Elephas maximus indicus: one gene and its partners. The protein of the gene in region 4 interacts with the protein of the main gene of each other region in a biochemical or structural test. Links are inferred from orthologs where the notes say so. Each region holds a gene or a part of one and is shown on either strand. Other genes may lie near its edges. The genes, in order: CRK, SH2D2A, ITK and ERBB2.

The links.
Region 1: the proteins of ERBB2 (region 4) and CRK form a complex in vitro, tested with the Homo sapiens proteins (2 studies listed by BioGRID and IntAct, with this or other methods). The link is inferred for Elephas maximus indicus from reciprocal best matches to the Homo sapiens genes ERBB2 and CRK.
Region 2: the proteins of ERBB2 (region 4) and SH2D2A form a complex in vitro, tested with the Homo sapiens proteins (2 studies listed by BioGRID and IntAct, with this or other methods). The link is inferred for Elephas maximus indicus from reciprocal best matches to the Homo sapiens genes ERBB2 and SH2D2A.
Region 3: the proteins of ERBB2 (region 4) and ITK form a complex in vitro, tested with the Homo sapiens proteins (2 studies listed by BioGRID and IntAct, with this or other methods). The link is inferred for Elephas maximus indicus from reciprocal best matches to the Homo sapiens genes ERBB2 and ITK.

The regions. Positions count from the first base shown.
Region 1 is NC_064837.1:20,224,237-20,231,099, reverse strand, and holds the start of CRK (adapter molecule crk), read right to left. Parts: upstream 3,017-6,863; 5' UTR 2,881-3,016; coding exon 2,640-2,880; intron 1-2,639. UniProt on the Homo sapiens protein: Involved in cell branching and adhesion mediated by BCAR1-CRK-RAPGEF1 signaling and activation of RAP1.
Region 2 is NC_064821.1:194,555,390-194,562,778, forward strand, and holds the start of SH2D2A (SH2 domain-containing protein 2A), read right to left. Parts: upstream 3,019-7,389; 5' UTR 2,933-3,018; coding exon 2,899-2,932; intron 2,377-2,898; coding exon 2,216-2,376; intron 1,165-2,215; coding exon 980-1,164; intron 138-979; coding exon 48-137; intron 1-47. UniProt on the Homo sapiens protein: Could be a T-cell-specific adapter protein involved in the control of T-cell activation. May play a role in the CD4-p56-LCK-dependent signal transduction pathway. Could also play an important role in normal and pathological angiogenesis.
Region 3 is NC_064820.1:173,658,692-173,666,374, reverse strand, and holds the start of ITK (tyrosine-protein kinase ITK/TSK), read right to left. Parts: upstream 3,013-7,683; 5' UTR 2,842-3,012; coding exon 2,704-2,841; intron 1-2,703. UniProt on the Homo sapiens protein: Tyrosine kinase that plays an essential role in regulation of the adaptive immune response. Regulates the development, function and differentiation of conventional T-cells and nonconventional NKT-cells.
Region 4 is NC_064837.1:46,996,095-47,003,316, forward strand, and holds the start of ERBB2 (receptor tyrosine-protein kinase erbB-2), read left to right. Parts: upstream 1-4,202; 5' UTR 4,203-4,463; coding exon 4,464-4,536; intron 4,537-7,222. UniProt on the Homo sapiens protein: Protein tyrosine kinase that is part of several cell surface receptor complexes, but that apparently needs a coreceptor for ligand binding. Essential component of a neuregulin-receptor complex, although neuregulins do not interact with it alone.

The DNA of each region.
Region 1 (6,863 bases), about 27 Mb from region 4:
GTCAATAAATGTTAGCTATTAATTTCATTTTACTTGAATCCACAATCAAAGCCCATGGAAGCAGCAGTCAAAAAATCCAATAACCTATTATTGCATTGGGCAAATCTGTTGCAAAAAACCTCCTTCAAGTGTTAAAAGGAAAAGATCTCACTTTGAGGACTAAGGTGTGCCTGATCCAAGCCATGGTATTTTCAATTGCCTCACAGGGTTTTTGGGGCATATGCATGCAAAACCTCTGAATATGGAAGACTGAAGAACTGATGCCTTTGAACAGTGGTGTTGGCAAAGAACCCTGAATATACCATGGACTGCCAGAAGAACAATCTGTCTTGGAAGAAGTACAGCCAGAATGCTCCTTAGAAGGGAGGATGCAAAGACTTTGTCTCACGTACTGTGGACATGTTATCGGGAGGGACTAGTCCCTAGAGAAGGACATCATGCTTGGTACAGAAGAGAGTCAATGAAAAAGAGAAAGCCCCTCAACGAGATGGATTGACACAGTGGCTGCAATAATGGGCTCAAACAGCAATGAGTATAAGGATGGTACAAGACCAGGCAGTGTTTCATTCTGTCGTACATAGGTTCACTATGAGTCAGAATCGGCTCAAAAGCACCTAACAACAACATTAATTTTGTATATGCCTCTCTAAAACTCAAGAAATTCTTCTGTATGGTTTCAAAAGAAATACAGCTCAATGGAGAGGAGGACAACAGAGATGAAGTAATCTTTATAAAGACAGCAACTGAATCAATTACCCTGCATAGAATATGGAGTGCATTGCAGAAACAGGCATTACCACAATGCCCATGAACTTTCCACACCCCATCCACAAACTCTGGCAATCTTCACCTTCTCTCCTGGGCCAAGGATCTAAACTCTTATCTGTTTTGAAAAGGTGGAGCTCCATACCAAGGTAAGCATTGGGAAATAAAACCATAATGCCAAGGTATGGAGAAATTTCAAACTAAAAAAGCAACCTGCTGCCATTTCCAAATTTTGTAACCAACAAAACGTACACACAAACAAAATGTTAAGAACTGAACTTCAATGAGTTTGCCTCCACGTTACTGTATGTGATACCAAACCTTAGATACCATGCAGGCAGCATCAAAGCAGAATACACCTAAAAGCAAAACCAAAACCGTTGCCATCAGGTGGATTCTGACTCATAGCGACCCTGTAAGGCAGTAATGCTGCCCCTAGGGCTTCCAATCTAGTTTAGGGCAAATGATGGTACATCAATACTCGCATCTCATGCTTAATTATATTAAATCAATTAGACTGAGAAAGATCTAGGAAAATTTATGGACTTAAAGACCTCATACTCATTTTCTAACTTGCTATGTGTTAATAACAAAGAGATTGCCTATCCTGTCTCCCCCTTTCTGGCCAGACTGTCAGTCTAAATTAGGCCTATTGTAAAAGAGCCGGCCTGCAAAGGCTGGCTCTGGAACCTCCTAATTCATATAAGACTGGCCTGGATCTAATCTCAGTTGGTCAGGAGGATAACTACTTCAACTTGGGAACAGTGAGAAGGCATCAGGACTCTTGGTCCTCTTACACAGATAATGCTAACCGCAGAATTACTCTGTACCTCACAACTCTCAAATACTAAATGCATAAATTCCATTAACACTCCTCAAACAACTTCAATGACATGACTAAATCTCAGTGATCATTGGTAAGGAAGACCAGTGTAGTTAAACACTCAGAAAATCTGATCCAGCCAGGTTTGTTCCCAATTTCCATGAAGACTCAGGCTACAGCCCCAACTTACTGAGCAAGAAGGGGCCCTGAAGTACAAGACTAACAATGTTTAAGCTCAAGGAAAAATGAAATCCATTCACTTTTAGGGAAGAGGTTGTTTCCATTGGCTTATTTCTGGTTTATTTTCTGAAAAACTCTTTCTCCCCTATGCATTGCTTGCAGAGAAGGACAGTCTTTTGGCCACTAAGATTTCTTGGATACAGTCAGCCAAGCATTAACTTGTTCTGGGCTGGTCTCAGAGGGCTTTCTTCAATCACCAAGGCACTTAGCTAATCACCTTCGTCCTCCACAGGAGAAGAGGACGGTAAAAGACTTTTGGAAAAATGCCCAAGAAAGGAAAAAGCTGACCGGTTTCCTGAGGGTGTCTCCATCCCTCTTGACCGGTATGGGGTGACTTCCTACCAAAGGCCACCAGGGGAGTATGGCCAAACCTGGCTCTCCAACACAGCAGGAAGTGTTTCTAGCCTAAAAGCCACTTGTAGGATTATCGAATTCATTCTGGGTACCGCTGCCAAGTGATGCCCCCGCAGTGCCAACATCCCCCTCAGCTCTTTGTCCCCACGTTGTCCCGCCCTGCCCTTGCACACTGGCCCGGGCACTAGCCCCACCCTGGGGCCGAAGCAGTTCCCCTTCCCCTGGGCCGTCCTCCCAAGTCACACCCAGAGGCCTCGGTCAGCCGCTCCTCCTCCCCCACACACTCCCGCTCTCCGTTGAGAACTAGCTCCAGCAGTAGGCTGCCCACTGCCCCTGTCGCTTCAGCCCTCTGTCCACGACCCTCGTGGGGGCCAGCTCACGAGAAGCAGCCGGCCAGGCTGGAGAGTTCCGCGGCCCTCACCCCCGCCCGGGGCCTCCCGTCCCGTGTGTCCCTCACCGGGCGGAGGCTGGGCGGGCGACGGCGGCACCGGGGGGCGCGGGCCGCTGCTGTTGATGATGTAGTGGGAGACGCGCGAGTTCTCGGAGACGCTCAGTACATAGTCCCCGGGGCTGGTGCTCGAGTCCCGCACCAGGAACACCCCGTGCCGCTGGCCCTGCAACAGCGCCACCGCCTCCTGCCGGCTCAACCGCCCCCAGTACCAACTACTCCGCTCCTCCGAGTCGAAGTTGCCTGCCATGGCCGCCTCCGCGCCTACACGCTGGGCCGCGGCCGCCGCGCGCGCACCCCTCCAGCCCCGGCGCCCGCCGCCGAGCGGACCGGCTCCGGTCTCAGTCTCACAGCAGCGCCCGAAATGGCGGCGGCGGCCGCGGGCCTTCCCCACCGGAAATGACGCGCTCCCAGCCTCAGAGAGGCTGCCGGGAAGGGGCCCGCCGGCCGCCATTGGGAGAAGGGCAAGAGAGACCTCTCGCACGCATTGCGCATGCATTGCGCATGCGGCCTCATGGGCGTCGCCGCCGGGCTCGGACCCGAACTGCAGAAGATGGAGAGGTGGAGTCTAGGGCCGAAGGGGCGGGGCCCCAGCCAGCGGTCCCCAGAGGTTTGTTTTTGTGCTGTTGGCTACGCGGTTCTTCGCTCCATTAGGCTTCAAGTTACTGGATGGCCCAGGACTTCTAGGCAGTGACTCCGAAACAGAATTGGGGTTATAAAAGGTGGATGTGATAAACCAGAGACTACACCAGCCGGAGACCGGAAGAGCTAGATGGTGCCCGGCTACAACCGATGACTACTCTGACAGGGACCACAACAGAGAACCCCTGAGGGAGCAGAAGAGCAGTGGGATGCAGATCCCAAATTTTCATAAAAAGACCAGACTTAATGGTCTGACTGAGACTAGAAGGACCTTCTGTTGCCCCAGGACAGGAACCATTCCCCAAGCCAATTCTTCAGACATGGATTGGACTGGACAATGGGTTGGAGAGGGATGCTGGTGAGGAGTGAGCTTCTTGGATCAGGTGGACACTTGAGACTGTTGGCATCTCCTGTCTGAAGGGGAGATGAGAGGGTAAGAGGAGGGTAGAAGCCGACAAAATGGACATGAAAAAGAGAGAGTGGAGGGAGAGAGCGGGCTGTCTCATTAGGGGGAGAGCACTTGGGAGTATGTTAAAAAAAAAAAAAAAAACGTTGCCATCGAATCGATTCCGACTCATAGGAGTATGTAGCAAGGTGTATATAAGCTTTTGTGTGAGAGACTGACTTGATTTGTAAACTTTCACTTAAAGCACAATAAAAATTAAAAACAAAAAAAGGTAGATGTGAGCCCACGACCTGAGCTCTCAGCAAGGTTCCCTGAGACGTCGGGCCTTTTCTGCTGGCTAAGTTCTTGTTTTCATTGATTCATTTAGCGAACAGCACACTTGCCAGGTGGGTGCAAAGGTGACCGAGGCTGAGCCCAACCCTCACCGAATTCGCAGACCAGTGGGAGGAGCCAGGAAAGAATGACAATGGAGTGCCAAATGCTAGGATGGGGAACAAGCCTGGGGCTCTAGGAACACAGAACAGGCTCCCTAATTCAGTTTGGGGAGGGAGGCTTGAGCAGAATGTTGAATGGCAAGTGGGGAAGGGCACTGAAGTCAAAGGGAACAGAGTGTGGTGTGGCAAGCCAGGCAGAAGTATGGTGTTCTCACTATTGAGGCTTTCAAGTTATCGGCCCAGATTCCTCTAACCCTAAATTGTGCCCGTGTGTGTCTTCCCCTCTCACCGCCACTGTCAGGATCACTTCGCTTCTGTATTACTGTTAAGAGCCTCCTTGCTGGTAGGCTTCAGTCTTTGTGCTCTTAATTGCCCCCCACACTGCTGCCAAGGGTGACCTTTCTAAAACGTCCGTCTGAGTCTTGCTACTCCGCGTGAAACCTTTAACAGTCTTCAAATGTTAAAACTGCCAGCTTCACTCACAGCATAAAGCTGGGCCACAGCCTCATCTTAACTGCTCCTGTGTGAACCCCCTGTCCCAGTAATGCCCTTTCACCCCTTATGGAACCTCAAACTCAAACGTCTCCCCTTTTCTGATCAACCCATCACTCCCTCTCTGCCCTGACAGCTTTGTGTCCATATTGTCTCCTTACAGCTTTTGTACCATCGTACTGTAATTTTTCACTTACAGCTCTGTCTGTACCCCATGCTAGAGCTTCTCAAAGGCCCAGCATCTAGTTAGGAGACACTCCTAAACATTTCATAATAACCCACCAAAATCCAAACCTGTTGCCGTAGAGTTGATTCCAACTCATAGTGACCATATAGGACAGAGTAGAACTGCCCCGTAGGGTTTCCAAGGCTGTAATCTTTACAGAAGCAGACTGCTACATCTTCCTCCTGTGGGGCAGATGGTGGTTCAAACCGCCGAACTTTTTTGGTTAGCAGCTGAGCACTTAACCACCATGCCATCAGGGCTCCTTTTTCCTAATAACAGCTAAACGTTTATTCAAGGCTTACTACCTACCAGGCATGGTACTAAATGACTTTAAATGGATCATGACATTTAATACTTGCAGCCACTTTATAGGTAGGTATTGTACAACTAGCCTCATTTTACAGATGAGAAGACTAAAACTCAGAGAGGTTAAGTGACTTGTTCAAAGTCACACAGCTGCTGAGTGAGGAGCTGGGATTCAAATTGGAGGACAACCAGAGCTATTGATCACTCTGCTATATCCTCAGACCTCTGGGATAGGAAACTGGGTGGGGGCCTGGGGAGGGGGGCAAATCTGTATTTTGAAAAAATCAGTCAGCCCTGGGTTATGGCTCATGTGAATAACACAGCTCTTCCAGGTCCACGTCACACACCCCTGGGCCCACTCTGGGTAGCATGGGGAGGGGACACCTTCCCAGCTGTGTGTGACTCACTGTAACCCCGGCTTAGTCACACTTCGTCACCATGTGCCAGCAGCAGAAGCCACTCGAGCCTGATTCTGACCCTTTGAGAAGAAGCACCTGCTCTTCATTTCTACAAGAATGCTGGCACTGAGGGACAGGCCCTGACTCAGAGACTGCCTATGAGAGTCTGAAGCCATGCCTCCCCCACCCGCAGGGCACATGGAAATGACTTAAATATTTTTTAAAAAGGAAAGAAATCATAAATGAGCTGGAAAACAAACAAAGGGGGGGTAGGCAAGAAGGAGAGATCCAGCCCAGGAAGCCACTCAAGTGGGTCCTTCCTGGGAGGGCAGAGGGCAGGAATGTAGGAACAGGAGTGGCCTTGGGGGAAAACAAAGTCATTAGTGAAAGAAGTGAGCAAGCCACCCTGCCCCCTCCCTCCTTTCTCCTCTCCTCCTCCTCCTCTCCCCTTCATAATTAAAGATTTACAGCTATATTTAGGTTTTTGCCTCCTGATAAGCTTTGAGACTTGTCCTACAAAGAAAGAGACCTCCTTGCTTAGGAAAGGCTCTGTGTGTGGGGCCTGGGGAGGTGAGGCAAGGAGTTACCTGAAGGAGATATACAGGGGGAAAGAAAGGGAAGGCTGCCCAGTCCAAGAGGAAAAGACACCAAAGTCCTCCACTCCACGCTCTACCCCCTAAACCTCCTTATTTTAGCAATGGAGGTACAGCAGGGGTCAACAGCCTGCTTGCCTGCCTGCTCTGTGTCCCCTAAAGTGACCATAGCTGGGCAGGTTGTGTGCAATGCACAACTCCAAGATACTGTGTACATGAAGCTTCTGTAGTTGGGTTACTAATATTCACTTTCCTTTTTTTTTAAAAAAAAAAAAAAAGCAGAACAAGTTTATTTGTATCAAGATGACAAAAATTGCTATTTAAAGCAAAAAACAACAGTATCACCTTTCAAAGTGCATGCTTGTCTGTGATGTCCCTCCCACTCCCACCCCTACCACCAACCCCACCCCACATGGGTAGGCCTTAGTTCTGCAGAGACAAGCAGCAGTCTTAAAGCGTGGAAAGGTAGGGCCTGGAGACAGACACTGGGGGAAAGCTCTGGGGAGAAATGTGAGGGAACTCAAGGAGGGTCTTGGGGAAGAGAGGGGGCTGGGAACACAGGCGGGAGGCTGGATCTTCCAGAAATATCAGCAAGATGTTCCCAGTGGCAACATGACCGCAAGACTTTTGAGAATGAAGATGCAAAATACTCAATTTTGAGCTGTTTGCTTCACTGCAATATAAAGCCCTCTCACTGCCCTCCATTCTTTACGAAATTCTGCTGCTCACACAAATG
Region 2 (7,389 bases), on a different chromosome or scaffold from region 4:
TCTGCAGCACGAAGCACCGCCCCCCGGCGCGGGGCCCCGCCCCTCACCTGTAAGTCAGCACAAAGGTCACGGCGCTCTCGCTGAACCGCACCAAGAAGCATCCCTGAGGCTTGGTCTCCAGCAGTCTCTCGGCCTCCCTGTGGGTAGCGGAGAGAAGAGGCAGAACCCTGCTATGACCCTCCGGGCCTCGTCCCGTGTCCCCGGAGCTCCTGGGGGCCCATCCCCCAACCTAGTGTGCTGAAGTGGCTAGAAAAGGGCCAGGGTGGAGATGGGGAAGGAGGATGCGAGCACTGTGCTTCCCCTGCAGGGACTGGCGGTGGGCAGGGGCAGGGTCCCACTCAGGACACGGGAGGCCAGGTGGCCTACCGCGCTGCAGGTCTGCTCACCCTCATCCTGAAAGTGCAGCCTGAAAGGGCTAAGGCTGCAGCAACAGGAATGGTAGTTAGACTTCTGGATATCAGAAGTCCCAAACTGAACTGAGGAGGTGAAGCAAGAGATACAAGGGCTATGAGGCTGAGAAATAGAGGAAGAGGGAAAAGGTGGGGAGACGGGGAAGAAAGAGGAGAGAGCTGCAAGGAGCCGGAGACAAAGATGGAGTCAATGGAGAAAGAGATAGAGAGATGGAAAATATGGTGGCACAGTGGTTAAGAGCTACGGCTGCTAACCAAAAGGTCAGCAGTTCGAATCCACCAGCCGCTCCTTGGAAACCCTACGGGGCAGTTCTACTCTACCCTATAGGATCCCTATGTGTCAAAATCGACCCAAGAGCAACCCAGTTATGGAGACCTTAAAGACAGGAGGATAATGGAGCCTGAGAGGGAAAACCAAGGCACAGAGGCAGCTGGACTGGATTCTCTCTAATTATCTCCCCTGGGAGAGATGCCTAGGAATTGGGAGATGGGAGTCATAGTCTCAGTCTGCCCTGACTGGCAAGGGACCCCTGCCCCTCTCTGGGCCTGTTTCCTCCTCTCTGACTCACTTTCGGGTAATGAAGCCATGGAACCAGGCAGGGGCTGCCCCGTGCTGCAGGAGCCAATGTGCCTGGGTCTTCTGGAACCAAGCCCGGGTCTCGGCCTGCAGGGTCAGGCCTCCTTCCCCAGGCACCTCCTCAGCCTTTCCAGCACCCTCTGGATTGGAAGCAGTCCCCCGGGCCTGGACAGACACCTGCTAGGGGAAAAGTCCAAGGAGGGAGAAGCAGCCACGATTAGCAGGCTTTCCTCTAACGCCAAACCAGCCACCACCTTCTCACCCCTATACCCAGCCCCTCCTGTGCATGGGGAGGAAGCTCCCCCCACCAGACCAATGGCCTGTTTTAGGATGTATTTGCCCAGAAAGCCCTTCCCAAGATCTCACTTAAATCCTGTCTTCAGCTCTAGCTGTTTTGGTTTCCAGGGAATGTCCTTCCACTTCCTTTTGGGGCACAAGGGCCTTTCATCCAATAGCAGTGAGCTGTTAAAATGTGCTTCGATGGGGATGAAACAGGTACCAAGGGCTTCCAGACAGACTGGAGGTCGTTGCCTGGCCCGAGGGATGAAGGGAGATGGTGCAAGACACCCCAGAGGCGGGGATGAGGGAGTGCTCCCCGACAGTAGGGGGAATTGAAGCTGAGTCCAAAGGAAGATTCCCTAATGACTAAGGGGTAAGGGGAGTCTCAGGGTGGCGCAGATGTTTATTGAACTCAGCTGCTAACTGAAAGGTTACAAGTTCAAGTCCACCCAGAGGCACCTCAGAAAGAAAAGTCTGGTGATTTACTTAGGAAAAAGCAGCCATTGAAACCCTATGGAGTACAATTTCTACTCTGACGTGTGGTTGCTAGGAGTCAGCATTGACTCCATGGCAACTGGTCTGGGAGGGTGAGGAGAATTGAGATGGAGACCTGGGATGCAAAGGGCAAATGAAGGCCGTGGACATAGACTCCCAGGTGACTGCTTATTGGGCACCTGCTAGGGGGAGAGTCCAAATGTACTGTTACCTGTTAACCTGTGGACTCAGCCTGAGCTTCCCAGGGCCAGAGGAGCAGTGTGTGGGCCAGGGGGCAATTCGGCAATGAAGGGGCCTCTCCCTTTCTTCTTCACCTCCCTCGGCTCCCCTAGCCCCGTCATCCACAGCTCCAGATGGCTCCTGCTCTGTCTTCCCATTGCCCATCTGCAAGCCCTCATCTGTGGGAGGGTGGGAGCAGATGGGGAGGGCTGCATTCCCTCAAGTTCCCACTCACCGGAACCTCAATAGCCAAAGCCCTGGGGCTGAGCTGGGCCTCCTCAGCCTCCAGGGCCTGGGATCTGGGCCTCGGGAGCAGGTCCAGGTCCTGGCAGCTCCTGCGGGTCAAGTCCATGGGCAGAAAGGTGCTGAAGGTTGGGCTGGGGGCTTGGCGACTCCCTGTCAGCATAGAGAGGACTGCTGGGGTTTCTCACTCCTCTCCCCAGGCTCAGAGGACCCTGCATGCCTCTGGCAAGGGACCAGGGGAAAGATTTCTCAGCGATGAGGAGTAAGGAGTCAAGGAGATCCTGAAGGGCTGACGCAGTTAGAGGGTGCTTGTCAGGGGAAGGAAGGTCTGGGAACTAAGCTGGCCTTCCGATGGCCCAGAAGTTCCACCATAAGGGACGCAGATTTCTCCTGGCCCAGGGTCCTCCATCTCGCATTCCCCTTTCTCCTCCCAGCTCCCTCCTCTCTAAGAAGCACTCAGCAAACCCCCATCACCTTTGTCCTCAGGGATGAGTGAACATGGAGCCCCAGAGGGAGGAGGAATCATGGGTGCCCTGATAGTCAGCCTTGCCATCTTTGGCTTGGGGTGGGAGCCCTCACCCCTGAAATGGGAGCTCGAGCCCAGGAGAGACAGCAGGGGTGATGAGGGAAGTCCTAATGTCTCCTGCCCCCCACATTCTTACACTTTCCACTTACCTTGGGGACATATCTGAGCCAAGGGGAACTCCATGGGGGCAGCCTTAGAAGGAGCCCCCGGAACAGGGTGTATGTCTGTGTTCTGGAAAGGTGTGCACACTCAGCAACTCATCTTTCCCCTCACCCTGGCCCCAAGGGGCAGGAAGTGTCGCCTCACCCACAGCCTTAGCCCCAGCAGAGGACCCACGTCATGGAAAGCCATAAGACAGTTGTCCCTCCCCCCGGAAGCCAGGCAGTTGAAGGTGGTGGTGGTGGCACGTATTGGTGTCACTCTGTGTTTGGGTGTTGGGAAGTTCTTACTACTATCTGACCTTGATCTCTCCTGATTCTTTCTCTACTCCCTCACCCCAGGCTGGGACCTCCCTATCTCTGTCCCTCTGGGCTTCTGCTTTCTTACTGGTAAATCCCCTAGTGGTATGTTCTGAGCAGTGGGAATGGGGATGTCAACCTCAGAAGGATCAGATCTATGAGGTGCCTGGGGCTCCTCAAGTTTCACAGTCAGGATTGTGCTCTGAGTGCACATGAGGAGGGGCAGGACAGGGCTGTGATAGGAAGGTAATGGGCCAGACTTCTGGAAGAACTTTTTGAGATCTTACAAAAACTGCAGGGGTGGAGGGTAGGGAGATGGGGACCTGGCTTCCATCCTTGAGCAGATAATGGAGCTGGGTGAGGGCAAAACCAGGCAACTCTGGAGAAAAGGAAGGAGAATTCCCTCTAAGTTGGAAAAAATAAATAAATAACCCATTGCCATGGAGTCGATTCTGACTCACAATGACCCTATAGGACAGGAACTGCCCAATAGGGTTTCCAAGGCCATAATCTTTACGGAAGCAGACTGCCACATCTTTCTCCCGCAGAGAGGCTGGTGGGTTCAAAGTGCTGACCTTTCAGTTGACAGCTAAGTGCTTAACCACTGCACAACCAGGGCTTACTGCCAACTAAGCAGGTTGTAATTAATACAACACTGTTAGTCGTCGTTGTTAATAACATCAACAACTCTGATGTCTTAAAGTTGCAGTGTGCTTTATACGCACTCCACACACCAGAGGACCCATCCTATTTCCCTCTCACTTGATCCTCACACACTAAGAAGAAGAAAGGAAACATGATCTCCATTTTCCAGAAGGGTAAACTGAGGCTAAGAGAAGTTTGGTGCCTTGGCCAGGGTCTTTCAGTGTCTCAGGAGTTGGTGGCAGAGCTGGGACTAGAAACTAGAGCTCCTTTCACTACTGTCACCATGATTTAGGCCAACAGTCCATGACTATGTGCCAGGCACTGTTTGTGGGGCCAAGAACTCAGAGAGAAAAAGAACCTTGTTCCTGCCCTCGGGATGTCAAGTGGAGGAGACAGACTTTCCGGCAAATACTTTTTAAAGATGGTGGTGGGGTAATGGTATGGGCTGGTGCTATGGGAGCTGTAGTGTGGTAGCAATAGTGTTGGCCCTCGTCTGACTTCAGAGGGGAATCAGCATCAGTCCAAAGCCGACTCCTATGAGATGGAGGTCAGACATACCTCCACTCTCCAAACTTTTTACCAATTCTGACACCAGCCGCCTACCCCATGGCACTCTCTACTTCTCTGCCGGGTGCTATAATTTGTTACATACAACAGCCACACAGAACTCATAGACCATACTCACGGTTGTGTGGTTTATTAGGGAAGTAACATGTGATCGAGATCAGCAGGCTACAAGTTGGGATCAAGATTAGGAAGCATGTAGGCAAAATCTCCCTTCTTCAGTGCAGGACAGCTCCCTTAGCTCCCCTTGGCCGCGGAAGCAAGTAGGCACTTCCCTCCGCAGTGCAAGTCCTCTCCCAGCTCTGCAGGCCTCTTCTCAGGGCCCTCAGGATAAGCCTCCCCTTGCCCCCTGCCCTGCTCTGAAAGTGCTCCAGCTCTTGCAGCCCTGAAGGCAGCTGCCCGGAGTCACCCCACTCCACCAGCAAGCCCGCTGCCCGAAGGCGCTCAGCTCCCTAGCTCCATGGGCCAGGAAGCCCACCATGCCATCTTGTAGCAGCCTCCTGGTTCTGGTGCCGCCACTCCAGTGTTACAGCTCTGTCTGTTCCCTGGGTCTAGGAGGTTGTCAGTGCAGGGACCCCGGGTCCAAAGGACACATTCTGCTCCAGGCTCTTCTTCTTGATGGTGGTGAGACACCCCTCAACCTCTGTGAGATGGCCGCTTATATAGGCAAGTGGTTCAATCCTATTGGGCATATTTTATGTACCCTATTTGCATAACTGACCAATCCCCTCACTGGACTAAACTGGCCAATCACCCCTGCAAGTGGCTGCATCTATTTGCATAAAAAGTGGCATTTTCTTCTGTCAGAGACTGGCTTCTTCCCAGGGGGAAAGTAATAGGCTTCTCCAAAGGACTAGGGCAGCTGTAACAACTCCTCATGGCCTTGGGGAAATATCTCCCAAGCTGTTTTCTTTTTCTCTTTTTCACAGGAAGAAACTCATTTCATCATAGAAGCCGACCCTGAAGACCCCTAATTCAGCCTGGTGTGTGTGCGTGGAGGGGCTGGGATGTGGGAAGAGGAGCCTGAGCTGAGTTGTGGAGGATGAGTAGGGTGGGGAAAGCCTTCTTAGATAAGGGACAGCATGTGCAAATGCACGGAAGGATGAAATGGCAGAGTGTGGGGGGCAGCTGCAGGGGACAGTGTGAGTAGAGAACAAGAGGGGATATTTTTTTTTTGAGAAACTGCCAGCAGTAGGTTATGCAGCTGGAGGGGTCAGGGCCAATCACATGTCACCAGGAAGGCGTTTGGACTCTGGACTCTCCACCTGGGCTCTGTCTTATGGGGGCAGCTGCTTGCTCCCCATCTCTGTGCAGGAGGACGCTTTTCCCACCAGTCTCTGCTGGTCCTGCCATGCCCACACCCCAAGGCCTTACCTCCCCCAAAGCTGCCTGCTCCCCTTCCCTTCCTTAAAAACACTTGCCTTAGCCTTGGTCCCATCCAAGGAGTTGGAAATGAGACTGTGAGGACTGACAGGTGCCTGAAAGGTCTTCATCCCTAAACTCCTCATTTTATTGAATTGAAGACTGAGGCCCGGAAAGTCACTTGTCCCAGGTCCATGGTTAAGTTAGAGGTGGAGTTGGACCACCTGACCATCAATATTGTAACCAATTTATTGAGTAGTCTCAAAATCTCAAAACAAAAACCAAAAAACCAAACCAGTTGCTGTCAAGTCGATTCTGACTCATAGTGATCCTACAGGGCAGAGTAGAACTGCCCCATAGTGTTTCCAAAGGGCACCTGGTGGATTTGAACTGCCGACCTTTTGGTTAGCAGCATAGCTCTTGACCACTGAGGATTTCCAGTCTCAACACAGTGGGATTCAAATCTCACATGGCTTTATTTTTCTGCAGTCACTACCTTCAATGAGGCTTGCCCTCTTTCTTACCCGGTAACAACATCTCGAGCAGATACTATAATTTTCACTCACTTTCAGGCAGTAAGAGTTCAGATCGATCCACTTTAAAATTTCAACATCCTATCGTGTCTCTGACTTAAATGACTTTTCCTTCCTCTCTTCTCCTACTCTGTTCCCCTGGCAGGTAGCTGAGGGGGTTGGAGTGGGGAAGGGGTGTGATCTGCTCCCCTTGATCCCCCCAACCCTCTGGGGCTGGGGGCAGGACTGAGAGGGGAGACTGAGTATTGCTGTATTGGTTATCTATTGCCGTGTAACAGATTGCCACAAATTTAGTGGTTTAAAACACACATATATTATTTCACAGTTTTTGTGGGCGAAGAGCCCAGACATGAATCTCACAAAGCTGAAATCAGTGACAACCTGGATGTGTTCTCATTTGGAGGCTCAACTGGGGAAAAAATCACTTCCAAGCTCACTAAAGTTGTTGGGAGAATGTATTTCCTTCTGGTTGTAGAATTGAGGGTCCTGGCTTCTTGTGTGCTGTTGGTTGGAGGTTGCCCTCAGCTCCCAACCACCTGGGCCTCCTAACATAGCTGCTTACTTCTTCAAGGCCAGCTAGGCAGAGAGCCTCTGGCCAAACACGTGTTGTAATCTTGTGTCTTAGTTACCTAGTGCTGTTGTAACAGAAATACCACAAGTGGGTAACTTTAAAGAACAATTCTGTAGGCTAGAAGTTCGAATTCAGGGTGTAGTTCTGGTCTATTCCAGCTTCTAGCAGCTGTCAGCCATCCTTGGAGGTCCTGGCCTTGTAGACACTTCTACCTCCATCATCTGTCTCCCTCTCCCCACTGTGTCTGCCTGTCTTTGTGTTTATCCTGCTCTTTTTATAATTCAGAAGTGATTAGGTTTAGGATCTATCCTACACTGGTATAACCAATTGACTTCATTATGGAAGGTGATTACCTTAGATTAGATTATATTCACAGGTACAGGAATTAGGATTTCAACACGTATTTTGGGGGACACTATTCCATCCATAACATGATGTGGTCACAAACACATAATTCTGTACTCTTTTGCCATATTCCTTCGGATAGAAGTAAGGCACAGGTCCCGT
Region 3 (7,683 bases), on a different chromosome or scaffold from region 4:
GTGCTGCCTTCTGGTTTCCACTCTCATATTGCAAACAAATGTCCTTATTGTGGTATAATTAATGTCATGTTTTCTCCATGTTTGTACTTTTTGTCGGTGATTTCTCTGTTTAAAATGGCCCCGAAGGGTAGTGCTAAAGTGCTATCTAGTGTTCCTAAGCGCAAGAAGACTGTGATGTACCCTATGGAGAAACCATATGCTGTTATAAAAAAAAAAAAAACTGTTATAGGTGGTCACTAATTCCGTGTTCACAGTAATTTCATAGAACAGAGTTACCGTGAATAACAAGGATTGCTTGTACTTTATATATTAAGTTGAGCTATATAAAATTGCCTATATCTAACCATTTCTATCTATGAAATGGTACTTTCAAATAGTTCAGCCTAAGTACATTCTCTCTCTTCAACTTTATCATTTTATCATGACGTGGGTACTCTCATCACACCCATTTACAGATCAGAAGACTGAGGCTTTAATTTCAAAATAAAAAGTTCCTTCTCATAAATATTACGTTATTGCTTTTTCTGGGGAATGCACAGTGCACTTCTTTGTGCAAATCGGTGGCCCTAAACAATGGGAGATAATTAGGACATGAATCTGTAATAACTCATTTATCTTAACTTTCTCAGTGACCTTGGAGAAATTTCTAACCAATAAATTTCTATACTATTTAAAGAAATGCTTTTAAAATAGTTATTTAGGTATATAAACTGTAGGCATTAGAAAACAAAAAACTTGATTTTTGTTTTCATGTATTTTCTATATCCTATACGGAAACTTTAGGGATTTTAGCCCAGGGCTCGCCCATGCACAGAATGAATTATGCTGTAACTTTTCATAATGCTCAAATGAAGCACAGTGATTTCACAACATCGTCTAAAGAAAAATTATAACCAACAAAATTCTGAATCAAGACCACTCGGCTTGTGATTATTTACGAATACTACTGCACTGAACTCTCTGCTTAGGAACTGTTATCAGTATCAGGACTAACAAGTGAGATGGTGCTATGTGGAGTCAGGAAAAAAAAAAATTGGCAAAAACTGTAACGTGGACTTTGAAAAGAGAATATTTAAAGGCCGGTGATAACTCTTTCAATATGGAACAAGAACCTTAGATGTCCCACTCACAATAAGAAAAATATTGACTGATGCCATGTGATTTATCAGCTCTGTATGTTGACTCTCTGAAGTTCAAAACTTGGCTACTGGCCCTATGTTCCTTTAGTCAACAAATATTTATTGAGCACCTATCAAAGGGGCCTTCTACATAATCAGTAATCACCATATGTTTTCTGACTGACCGGTATTGTTATCAGTTAGAGTCTGCTGAATTGCTTCTCGTTTTGTGAAAAGGAGATGAGCAAGTCTTATCCCCTCTTAAAAAAAAAGAAAAAAAAAAAAAAAGGCAGTATTATTTCACCTACTGCATAAAAGGGTCAATCACCCACAGGCTGCATATAACTGTCCAGCCTTATTCAGGACTCCATTCACTGAATGCTTCAAAGCCTGACTCTCAAAAGACCCCATCCTCCTGCCTGCACTTACTAAGTCAGATCCCAACAAGGACTCAGAGCAGCTTTGTCCACACCTGACCATTAAGCACCTAATGTTATTTCTCCTTCAGTAAAATAAAGGTGACAACCCCTTTCCTACCACCCTAATAATGGAAAAAGTACAGTGATATAGTAAGAAATCAAACATGTATTGATGAATTGCTCAGAAGTACTAAACAAGTGCCTCTTCATTGAATAAAAGAAATTTTTAAAGAAGGAAGGGACCTTTCTTTTTAAAGAAAGAAAGAACAAGAGACTCTTGCTCAGGCTCAATCATCCAGTGAGAAGTGGTTTGGTCTCCAGATCACTTGCCCAGTGCTTTTTCTACCAAACTACATTGTTATGATTATTCATGTTGCTCCTGTAATTGCTGACGTTTCAGAATGTGAGAGTATCTTCAGATATACAAAAAGATTGACTTAGCTAAGCAGCGATTACCTTATGGATAAGAGCCGCTGGTCCTCACCACAGGTCACTTTTTGCTTGGTAATACTAGTTTCCTGGGAAGTTTTCCAAGGGCTTAAGGGGTTTACCATTGTGCCATGCAAATTTTGGGCAACACCGTATTCAATTAAATGCTCAGGGAATATTATTCCAAGATGTCAGGCGACTGGTGACCGTTGACACAAATGGGTTGAATTAAAGAAAATACTGATTTTATCTACCACAGTTTGAATTCTGGCTCCACCACCTGACTAGCTGTCAAATCCGTGGGCAAATTACTCAAGGGCTCTGAGCCTCTGGACCCATCATGTAACCATTCCTGGTACCAGTTGCCTTCACTGTAAAATAAGGAAACTGGGCAATATCATCTGTCAGCTTCCATCAGATGTTAATATTTTATTAAGCAATGTCCCATAACACGTAGCATATTTCAAATGAAGTTCAAGTTATATCTAATCAAAACATTTGCTATGTATAATATTATCATAATTTTAAAATTAAGCTTAACCCTTGCGGGAAAAAGAAGCTGATGGCTATTCAACTCACAGCTCTATGATTTTTAGAACTGAAACCACCATGTACAGCTACCTCACCTCTTGACAAGCATGTCTGTGTCCCCCGTTTTCTATTTTATTCCATATAAATCACCCCAGTACAAATATAAAATACTATTCAAAGAAAGACAAAACAAAGTGCTCACATACCCCATGGCGGTCCTCAAAGTATGCCAGGCTGGTTTTGGTTAAAACAAAGAAGCGAACTTTAAAGTTCGAGGGAGAAGTTCTTCTCTTCTGTTGGGATTTCTTGATGAGCTGTTCTTCCAGGAGGATAAAGTTGTTCATGATCCAATTCTTGAAAAGTGATGTGCCTTGGGCATCACCCCTTAGCACAACCAGAGGAAAGAGCTTCTGGGCAAGGAATGCGACGGGGAGGCCGTTGATCTTCAGAGAGTTGTTCAAAGGCAACTTGCCTCCAACGTTATCTTTCTATCAAGGTTCAGTCAGCATTGCAGAGCTTCCCCCTGATGTCAAAGACTAAAACCACATCCTTTCAAAATTCACAAAAGAGGTATATGTGAAAAAAAAAAATTACACCCTTTGCTACATGGTTTGGAAATGGTATTTGAAGAACCTTAGACTCAAATGATATTAAGGACTAGAATTTAATCTTTAGTCCATCTAACAGCACAAGGGGTAGGAATATGGGCTCTGGAATCAATTAGGCCTACCCAAGTTGACATACATTTTTGAGGAACACAATTCAATCCATAACACTAGTCATATATCTTGCCTTATGGTTAGTATGTAAGTTGAAACATAGTATGTGAACCCTACTTCCAGCAAGAAGTAAAGAACCAAGAAATCTTAGTGTAAGCAGAGATGGTATGTACTGGACAGGGATAAATAATAAAACAGAAGACTCATTACTGCCATATAGGAGTTCAAATCTCTAAATTTTATTTTTAAAAATATAAATTACTAGACTAGAGCCTAATTTTGTATCATATATTGAATGCCCCGGCATAATCAAAACACTCTGGGAGAAGTTAAGGAGGAGAGTATTGTAAATGATGCCCCTAACCTTGTTCTAAGATTTTAGGATATTATATGTGGAAATACATTGTCCAATAGAGGTTGTATTTTGTTTGTTTTTTCTGGTACAAGAATTGCTATTTCTCCCAAACATGTGCTCTCTCCTTCTTCCTGCGTAACTGATTCTGACATCTGGCTAGCCAGAATAAAGACAACATTTCCCAGCCTCCCTTGTAGTTTGTGTAGTCATGTGATTGTGCTCTGGCCAATGGGACACAGTGGAAGTGGTGAGCATGACATCCAGGAAATGTCCCTTAGTGGGAGACTTTGCACCCTTTTCCCTCCTTTCTGCTGACCAGATTGTGGATGTGATGGCTGGATCTGGAGCAGGTATCTTGCAGCATGAGGTGGAAATTGCATGCAATAGAGCACAAGATTGAAACACCCTAAGGTCCTCATGACCATGGACCCTCCATGCAAGGCCCGGATAGCCTTTTTTAGCTTAAACAAAAATAACTTCTAATTTTTAAGCTTCTGTTATTTTGAAGTTTCTGTCACTAGCAGCAAAACTCATTCTAACTAATACAGTGCTACCTTCCCCAACTAAACTATAAACTCCTTTGGGGAGGGTAGATTTATTCCTGGTTGTTTCAGATTAAAAGATTTACAGACATCATACAAGTGTTCTCATCTGAAAAAGCAAAATATTGTCAGTAGCTGTGGTAATAGTTGGGAGTTTTTCATTTGCCAAGCCTCCGTAAAATACAATCAAGAATTCATCTTATCCTCTCTCTTATAGTATCTTCGAACTCACTCAGAGAAGTTAGGTTTTGCTCGCTCAAATGAATAATTTCTTTGATAAGGATCAGCACAAAGCTAGTTCCTATAAGGCAGAGGTTTAAGATGTCCCAGATGTCCAGCTTTTCCAAGCTGCTGTACCACTCCATCATCTCTAACATCAACCACTCCCTCTCCCCTCAGCACTCCCCCTCCTGCCACCATAAAGCCATTCCAGCATGACTTCCATGAGCGGCACACCAGGCGCTTCCTCTGGAGTGTTCCATTGGGTATTTAGAGGGGGAGGGGGCAGTTTCTTTTCTCGGAATAAACAAATCTCACTGCAAATTTTATCCAGTCCATCAGGCTGGCTGTCTCCTCTGGGGTAACCTGCTGTGTAAATGCATCTAGTATCGCCATTTGTGAATGTTCCATAGTAAGTTGTGGCTCTTGTATCAACCCAAACACATTCTTCCATTCTGCAGCATTCAAAACTAAAGACATTGCTCCTAAATGAGCCACTTTCCCAATTCATTTAGTAATGCCGATCTACAAATTGAAGCAACTCCTTTACACTATACCCTCTTAGTTTTGTCCGTTTCCTCACAGACTACCTTCCTGATGAATAATGGTCATAGAAGAACTGTTGTTCCAATCTGATTTTTCCTTCCTTGGTTGGCCCTGAGACTAGCGGTCTTAGCTCTGACTGAACTGAATCTGGGCTTGGTTCAATGCTAAAATCAGGCCCTACATTCTTTTTCCCTGCCATTATAGCTATTACTGATAACAGAACCAAGGAATCTTATGTTTGGCCCTTCCTTTGTCGTTGTTAGGTGCCGTTGAATCAGTTCCAACTCATAGCAACTTTCTGTACTATAGAATAAAACACTGCTTGGTCCTGCACCATCCTCACAATCCTTTTTGTGCTTGAGCCCATTGTCGCAGCCACTGTGTCAGTCCATCTTGTTGAGGGTGTTCCTCTTTTTCCCTGACGCTCTACTTTACCAAGTATGATGTCCTTCTCCAGAGACTGATCCCTTCTGATAACATGTTCAAAGTATGTAAGATGTAGTCTCACCATCTTTGTTTCTAAGAAGCATTCTGGTTGTGCTTCTTCACAGACAGATTTGTTCATTCTTTTGGCAGTCCATGGTATATTCAATATTCTTCAGCAACACCACAATTCAAAGGCATCAATTCTTTGGTCTTCCTTATTCATTGTCCAGCTTTCACATGCATATGATGTGATTGAAAATACCATGGCTTGGGTCAGGCGCACCTTAGTCATCAGGGTGACATCTTTGCTTTTCAACACTTTAAAGAGGTGCTTTGCAGCAGATTTGCTCAACGCAATGCGCCTTTTGATTTCTTGATTGCTTCTACCGTGGTGCTGATTGTGGGTCCAAGTAAAATGAAATCCTTGACAACTCCAATCTTATCTCTGTTTATCATGATGTTGCTTGTTGGTCCAGTTGTGAGGATTTTTGTTTTCTTTATGTTGAGATGTAGTCCATAGTGAAGGCTGTGGTCTTTGATCTTCATCAGTAATTGCTTCAAGTCTTCTTCATTTTCAGCAAGCAAGGCTGTGCCATCTGCATATCACAAGTTGTTAATGAGTTTTCCTCCAGTCCTGTTGCCCCTTTCTTCCTCGTACAGTCTAGCTTCTCAGATTATCTGCTCAGCATATAGATTAAATAGGTATGGTGAAAGGATACAACCCTGATGCACACATTTCCTGACTTTAAACCATGCAGTATCCCCTTGTTCTGTCCAAACAACTGCCTATTGATCTATGTACAGGTTTTTTACAAGCACAATTAAGTGTTCTGGAATTCCCATTCTTCACGATGTTATCCATAATTTGTTATGATCCACACAGTCGAATGCCTTTGCATAGTCAATAAAACACAGATAAACATCTTTCTGGTATTCTGTGCTTTCAGCCAGGATCCATGTGACATCAGCAATGATGTCCCTGGTTGCACGTCCTCTTCTGAATCTGGCCTGAATTTCTGGCAGTTCCCTGTCGATATACTGCTGCAGCTGTTTTTGAATGATCATCAACAAAATTTTACTTGCCTGTGATATTAATGATATTGTTTGATAATTTCCACATTCGGTTGGGTCACCTTTCTTGGGAATAAGCATAAATATGGATCTCTTCTAGTCAGCTGGCCAGGTAGCTGTCTTCCAAATTTCTTGGCATAGATGAGTGAGCACTTTCAGCACTGCATCCATTTGTTGAAACATCTTAATTGATATTCCATCAGTTCCTGAAGCCTTGTTTTTCACCAATGCCTTCAGTGGAGCTTGGACCTCTTCCTTCAGTACTGTTGGTTCCTGATCGTATGCTACCTCTTGAAATGGTTGAACGTCAACCAATTCTTTTTGGTATAGTGACTCTGTGTATTCCTTCCATCTTCTTATCACTCTGCATTTCCATATGCATCCAAATAACCAGTTCCTCAAGAGTTAGATTCACCCTTCCTAAATCCCATGACTAGCTTTTGCCTTGGGTAACTGATTACAACATACTTAAATCCACCGGTGTTTTTTCATTCCATCCCTAAACCAAAAGTTTCTCATTCTTCCGTTTTTCATCTTCTCTCTGCTCTGGAATTGGCTCTTTTTTAAGGCAAAACCAACCAATCCCCCTAGTGGGCCACAATTATCTTATTTGCACATCCCTGCCCAATCACCTGGGTGGGAGTTATAAGACCATGCCAAGAAAGACCATACTAAATAATTTATCACACTGCACCACTCCTAAATGAAACCTTGTTGTTGTGTGCCTTTGAGTTGATTTCGACTCATACTGACCCTATAGGACACAGTAGAACTGTCCCATAGGATTTCCTAGGCTGAAATCTTTATGGGAGCAGATTGTCAGGTCTCTTCTCCCACGGACTGGCTGGTGGGTTCGAACCGACGACCTTTCAGTTAGCAGCTGAGTGCTTAACCATTGCACTACCAAACTCAAACCTAACCCATTGCTGTCGAGTTGATTCCGACTCATAGTGACCCTATTGGACAGGGTAGAACTGTCCCATAGGATTTTCAAGGCTGTAATTTTATAGAAGCAGACTGCGGCATCTTTCTTCTGCAGATCAGCTGATGGGTTTGAACCACCAAACTTTTGCTTAGCAGCTGAGTGCTTAGCCACTGTACCACCAGGGTTTCTTCATTGCAGCACCAGGGCTCCTTAAATATACCAAAAAATCAAAACCAAACCCAGTGCCATTGAGTCGATTTCAACTCATAGCGACCCTATAGGACAGGGTAGAACTGCCCTGTAGAGTTTCCAAGGAGCGCCTGGTGGATTTGAACTGTCAACCTTTTGGTTAGCAGCCATAGCGTTTAACTATTACGCCACCA
Region 4 (7,222 bases):
CCCTGTGACCTGGAACCATCCAGTCCAACTCATATTTCAGTCAGCAAAGTGAGGCCTTATCCAAGGCCACACAGCTAAGCTACTGTTAGAAGAGAGACCCACAGATAAACTAAGAGCACATGTTAAATGAGAACACACACAGACACTGACACACAGAAATTAGCACCATGACAACTTTGTATGCACAGGCCAGGATAGAAGTCACTCATTCCTTCATGTATATGCATTAAAGCGAGGTGAGGCGGAGGACAGAGAGGGCTTTTTCTGAAAAGCACCCTGAGGACAGAAAGGGTCCTTGGGCCTGCATTCCCGAGAGAGATGTGGGTGAGAGGGGCTGAGGGAGGCAAACAGCATGACCAGGGCCAGTGGGTCTGGCAAGTTTGGGCTCTGCCTTTTCTCTAACCCTGGGCCCAGGCCTCCCACACGATTAGGCTACAAGTATTCATACATGGCCACCTATAGTAAGGATGGATTTTCTTTTTTTTTTTTTTAAGGCTGGATTTTCTTATCAGAAGCTTCTAAGTTATTCTTCTGTGGCCCCAGGGAGGCCTTGTGTGTACTCTCAGGGGACTCTTTCTAAGTAACTGATTCACACAAACACTTGCCCAGGAATCCATGCCCCAGGCCGGAGGTTCTGTGGGGCAGGCCCCAATTTGTGGCCTGGACCTCGGACTGTGGACCGTACCCTCCCTTCTTCTGTTTGTTTTCAGTTCTCTGACCCCAGGCTGGCTGGTGAGGTAGGCAAAGGGGAGGAGACTCCGGTGCCAACACAGACAAACACACTCACAAACACACAGCTTCATGTGCTCCCCAGTTTCAGTGACCAGTCAATGATTGACTGGCATTTCACAGGCCGCTTGTTCCAGACCCCGACCTGTTGACCCTTGGAGGTCACCTTTGTGAGGCAGAGCCCTGTCTTGCCTCTTCAGTGGCAATGGTCACGTCTGCTGCCCATGGATCTAGTACCTATCACTCAAAGAGCTCATGCATCTGCCCCCCGGCTCTCAGTTTGCTCCCCTCTGTCCCATGGTCACCATTCCTCTGTACCCCAGCCTCCCTCTCCCTAGGCCCCTCACTAAGCCTTTCTCCTGGACTCTCATGCTCCTCCAACAATCCCGCCCCTGCTCCTCAGCCCTCTCTTCCCCCCTGAAACTCCCCCTCTCGTTCTTTGTCCCTCATACATCCTCTTTCCTTGGCTCTCCTGCCAGGCCCTGCTGGAGGGACAGTGAGGGGAGAATCGAATCAGCAGCGCCCACCCCTGCCCCCCTTCCTCTCCTCTTGTCAAGCAGCAGACAAGGTTTTTTCCCCTTCCTTCCCGGCTCTGAATAGGCTCATTCTCTTTGAGAGATTGGGCCCCTCTCGAGCCTCCTCCCCGGGGCGTGAGTTCTGACCCCAGCTCCTCCCCCATCCCCTCTCCTGCCCCCACTCCCTGGCTCCGGCCTTTCTCTGCAGCCCACTAGGACAGAGCTTTGTCTCCCTGGGACCCGGGATGCCGAGAGGATGGGCTTGCTGTGGAGGGGGAGGCAGGATCTTTGCGGAGGGAAGGGCTGGTAGTTACCCAGGCTTCTCTTCTCAGAGGGGTCTCCTCTAGCTCCCGTGCAGGGGCCTGGGGAGAAGGTGGGTTCAGGGAACCCACCATTCAGGGCTCTTGAAGCTGACAGTCCAAGCCAAAGCCACCGTGGTTCTACAGATGAAGTTCACCTCCCAGCTCTGCTTGTGACCTTGGACAAGTTTCTTCACCTCGAGGAATCCTGGGGTTTCTCTTTTGTAAAAGGGAACTGATCATACCAGTCTCCTCTGGTGCCTCAAGGATTCAGTGACACGAGGACTGTGGCTCTAGTACAGAGAGTCACAGCTTTCCTGACTGGATGAGCCCTTCTTTACTCTGGGGGAGAAGGGACACCTCTAACTCTGGCCCCAACCTTGACCCTAACAACCTGATGGGTTCTGGATGCCATATGTGCTCTCACCCAGGTGCAAGCCCTTGATATGGGATCAGCAAATGACTCTTGGAGCCAAGTCAGCAGCTCCTCCCTAAAGGACTGAGAGGCTGCGAGGCTGAGAGGCACACTGACTAGCCTCTGGGCTGTATGATGGGGTGGAGGTGAGAGGCTGGTTTTGCTGATTGTTCCACTTTTCCCCAGTTAGCCCTAAGACACTCCTGAACAAATAGTTAACTCCTTAGAGCCTTAGTTTCCTTAACCCTAACTCCAGAGAAAATAAGAATTTGGATGACCATCTTGAAGGGCTGCTGTATCCCCGTGCACAGCAAGGTTTCTTGAACATCTGTTACTATCATCCAAGGAATAAATCCATTTTATATCACCATCTGGGACACACACAAAAGGGCACCTACCCTTACTACGTGTGATGCTCTTATATTTTCTATTCTGTTTTAGTTATAAAAAAAAAAAAAAAAAAACTAATCTTGATATGATAGTCTCAATTGGTTTCACAACCATCTAATGGATCCTGTTTTTTTTCTTGGAGGTTTCCTGTATTCCTTTTCTTGGAGCCCTAGTGGCACAGTGGTTAAAGCACTTGGCTACTAACCGAAAGGTCAATGGTTTGAACCCACCAGAAAGATGTGGCAGTCTGCTTCCGTAAAGATTTACAGCCTTGGAAAGCCTATGGGGGCAGTTCTACTCTGTCCTATAGGGTCGCTATGAGTTAGAAACAACTCTGTGGCAACTGATATGGTATTCCCTTTCTTAAAGAGGGTGTCCCAAAACTTATAAGCTTCAGGCCCCCACAAAACCTGTATCTGCCCCAGTATAACTACCAAAACCCGTTGCTGTCCAGTTGATTCTGACTCATAGCTTCCCTATAGGACAAATTAGAACTGCCCCATAGGGTTTCCAAGGAGTGGCTGGTGGTTTTGAACTTCCGACCTCTTAGTTAGCAGCCTGAGTTCTTACTGTGCCACCAGGGCTCCAGTATAACCACAGTTGGGACTATTTATTGAGCAATTACTGTGTGCCAAGTATGGTGCTAAGTGCTTCAGGAACATTATTTCATTTAACCACTAGCACAACATGCCAGATGCTATTACAGACCCTATTTCACAGATGAGAAGACTGAGACCCAGATAGACTCAGTCTCTTGCCCAAGATCACATAGCTGATATGTGGCAGAGTGGAGAGATTTGAACTCAGGTCATTTCTGATTCCAGAGCCCCTGATGCTGTCACCACCCCCTACCTCCACCTCCTCCTGTAGAAGTGTCTGCTTATAAAGGTGCCTGGCACATGGGAGCAGTTTAAGAAATGCTACTGTCTTTCATTCTCTACCCCCTGGTAGGTGCCTCTGACCCTCTCTTGACCAGCACAGGCTTTGCTCTTGGCTGGGGCATTCCAATTAGATTTGTCAGATTTAGCAAATAAAAATAAGGATACCCAGTTAAATTTTTAATTCAGGTAAACAACGAATAATTTGTTAGTATAAGTGTGTCCTGTGCATTCTTCTGTTGGAATTTCCAGCAAAAACATGCCTTCCTTCTATCCTCATCCCCACCCCACCCCCACACCACAGGGCCTGAGGAACAGGGTCAGGGGCTCCTGGTGGAATGCAGGGTGGGGAGACGGAAATGAATGAAATAGTAAACTGCAAGGGGCAGAGAAGAAACCTTGAATGAATTAGGTGCTGGATGCCCCCATAAAGAAACAAAAGGGATGTTCTTCCAAGGATGGGGAGGTGGTCCCACCAATTTGAACGTCTCTCCCCCACCCCCATTGGTGGACCCCCTTAGGACCATGCTTTTCAGGCTGGGGAAGATACCCAAAAGATTTGAAAAGGTATCCCAGGGAGTCCCGGAAGCCACAAGTTAAATACAACACACTCCCCTCCTTGACTGTCAATTTTACTTGAGGATGTAGTGGGAAAACCATTATTTGATATTAAAACAAACAGCCCTGTGATGTGTAGGGCGCAAACTCGTCAGGAATGTTTAAGATAAAACGGGCGACTTAAAAGTGTTAAGGATGGCAGGCGGCCCCTAAAGAAGTTGCCCCAGACTCGCCGAGCGGGGAGAGTCACTGCTTTTAGGGGTTCTCCAAGGAAGCGTTTGAGAACTGCTACAGGGAACCCAGGCGTCCCAGCCCTGGGAGAGACGCTCACAGGCCTGCGCGGAGAGAGGGAGAAAGTGAAGCCGGGCCACTCCCCGAGACTTGCTGGAATGCAGTCGGAGGGGGTGGGGGGGCGAGCTGCGAGCGCGCTTGCTCCCAATCACAGGAGGACGAGGAGGAGGAGGAGGAGAACGGCTGCCTTGAGGAAGTACAGAATGAAGTTGTGGAGCTGAAACTCCCCTCGATCGTAGCAGGAGGGACGAGAAGCACCCCAAGGCCACCGCCCGCCCCTCCCAGGGTGCCAGCCCGGCGCCCAGCGCCCACCCTTCGCCTCGCCGCGCCCGGCACCCTCGCAGCCTGGTCCAGCCGGAGCCATGGGGCCGGAGCCACAGTGAACACCATGAAACTGGCGGCCTGGTGCCGCTGGGGGCTCCTCTTCGCCCTCCTGCCCCCCGGAGCTGCGGGCACCCAAGGTAGGTCTGGGGTGGGGAGGGCATGGAACAGCGACGGAGACCCTGCAGCCTGGGTAGCCGCAGAAAGCGGGGACCGGCGGGCGGGGCAGAAGGGCCCGCGAGCTCTCCGGACCCGAGCTTGGGGACAGTCGGCCGCTCCGAGCAGCTGGGCACTCGGGCAGGGAGGGGGCAAAAGAAGATGGGCCAGGGGGCAGTTACCGAAGCAGCTCTAGAAGTTCCATTCAAGAGACTGGCTCCGAGAACTTGTCAAAAGTTCTCGGAAATTATTTAGAAAGTTTCCATGAAAGGGCAGATTGCGCGGTGAAGAGCATGTGTGTTTCCCCCCTCTTGAGCCCTCTCAAGCTTTCTCAAAGCTTTTCCAGTTGGCAGCCTCCGCCCCCAGACTGGACTGGACTGGATTCCTTTGGGGGGTCCCCTCCGCCCTGTCCCTCTCCGCCCCCTTCAGTAACTAGGATTTGGTTACTCCAGCTCCAGGCAGGGTCGGTGTGTGGAGGGGGGAGGTGGGGACAGCAACCTGTTCAGCCAGAGCCGGGAGGAGAGGGCGGCGGGTCTGGCTGCAGAGTTGCCTCATACTGGGGTCTGGGCTTGTGGGGAGGGCGAGAGGGTTGTTTTGAACAAGTTTCTTTAGGGCCAGCTTGGGGACTGGGTGTTTTATGACTCTCGAAGAACACAGGGGATGGTGGAGTGGTGGTGGCGGGCTTCGGGTTCTGGGGCATAAAGGAGGAGAGTTTCAAGGAAGGGTTTCCAGAACAGTCTGGACCCGGTGGTAAGAAATGGGGCCAGGTTGGGGAATGCAGAAGGCTGGGCTGTGGAGCTGCCTTTTCCTTCATGCTGTGTGGGAAAGGGAGATGGGGGCAGTGTGTGTCCTGAGAGGGGCATCTATCTTCCTCTGTAGGCAATAATGCTGAAAGTCAAGGTATACCGGACGCATACTGGGTGCTAAGCACTAGGTATGGCATTTTCCATGCATTCATTCCTTCCTTTAATCCTCAGGACCCTATAAGGGAAGTCCCACTAGTATTACTATTTTCCAGGTGAAGACCTGGCATTAATGAGGTTTAAGTAACAACCAGTGATGGCGGGCTCAGGTTGGACCCCAGGCAGTCCCATCTCTAACTACACATGTGAAATCACCGTATTAATCTGCCTTGAACAAGGGAAACACTGCACCCTGCTTGCCGGAGTTGTGGGGAAAACCAAATGAGTGTTCCGAAAGTAGTGGGTGGTCCCCATAGGCCACGGAGCCAAGGGGTGGTGGTGTCATAGTGCCTGAGCGTTGCCAGAGGGTCAGCGTACTGCTGTGCTGAGAGTGTCAGCGTGCGTGTCTGAGGCTGCGTGTCTGGCAGGGTGTTGTTGAGTTGTGTGGTCTGGTGTGTGTCTGGGCTTTGTGTTGCCAAACAGCAATCTCCCTGCTGACTTGGGCACTTGGCTGAACTCTGCCCTCTGAAGGAACTCAAGGTGCCGGGCCAGATCGGCCGTAAACAGCGGAGGTGGCCCCACGCCTTCTCTCTGAGGAAGGAGGCTCCCCTTTCCTAGGGAGCCAATCCTTCCCCTCCCTGTTTCCTAGGCGGGCGTCCTTGCCCCTGGTGCTCTGATGAGAAGGGTGAGGCTAGGCTGGGCTGTCACGCAGGAGGGACTGGGCTGCTTCAGAGCTGGGTTGTGAAGGGTGGTGGGACTGCTGTTCACCAGGGCTTCCTCAGCCCTCATCCTGCATTGCTGGGTACAGAGAGAGAAGCTGGGTGTGTTGTGCAGGGAGTGGTTAAAACAGCACACCACCCAGCTGCCTCCAACACTCCTGTTATATGTCAGGGCTCAGGGCAGGGGCAGGAATGTGGGGGGAGGGGGATGTGGGGGAAGACCCAGAGGGTCAGGATTTTACTGAGACCCTTTCTTAGAGGTCAACGTTTTGTAAATTGCAGCAAACTCGTTCTTTTTATCATGCAGAGCTCATATTTACTCCCAGTATGATTCTCCCAATAGCTTTCTCCTTTTACTATACTTGAGGATTTAGGAAAAGTAACCTTATTTTAATATTCAAGGGGAAAAAAATGGAAAAGATAGGCTCACGTGTAAAAAGAGAACAAATTCTACATTCCAAAGTCATGTTCTCTTGGTTTGAGATTTCCCATATTTCTGCTGTATTAATGTCTCTTGCCTCAACTTCCTACGTTCCGAGTTCTTACGCACAGTTTCATTTAATCTTTGCAACAATCCCGTGAAGTAGGTGCACAGGTGAGAAAACTGAAGTTCAGAGAAGTGAAGCGACTTATCCAAGACTCCCCAGCTAGCCAGTAATGTCCAAGGCATTTTGACTCCTCTAAGGAGACCTCAAGAGTTAGTCAAAGTCTTAATTCCATTCAACAGGAATGGGTTGAGCAAAGCCCCAGTTTAGGGGCAAACATGTGCCCAGAAGGGATAGAAACACTACTCAGATTTTTAGGTGAATGACTTTTCCATTCATTTAACTAGGTTATAGAAAGTAGAGCTGTCTTCCCCAACCCAGTGGGGACCCTCCTGGCCTGAGAGTCCTCTCTCTCCCTGTCTAGCTCATGCCTGCCTTCCTCTCGGGCCCTCCCAGCATGGCAGGGGACTGAGGGCAGGATGGGAGCAGAGGCCACTGGGACACGCATGGCTATGGGCAGAGGGAGACATGGAGTGGAAGCATGAGGGACCAGTGCAGAAATGG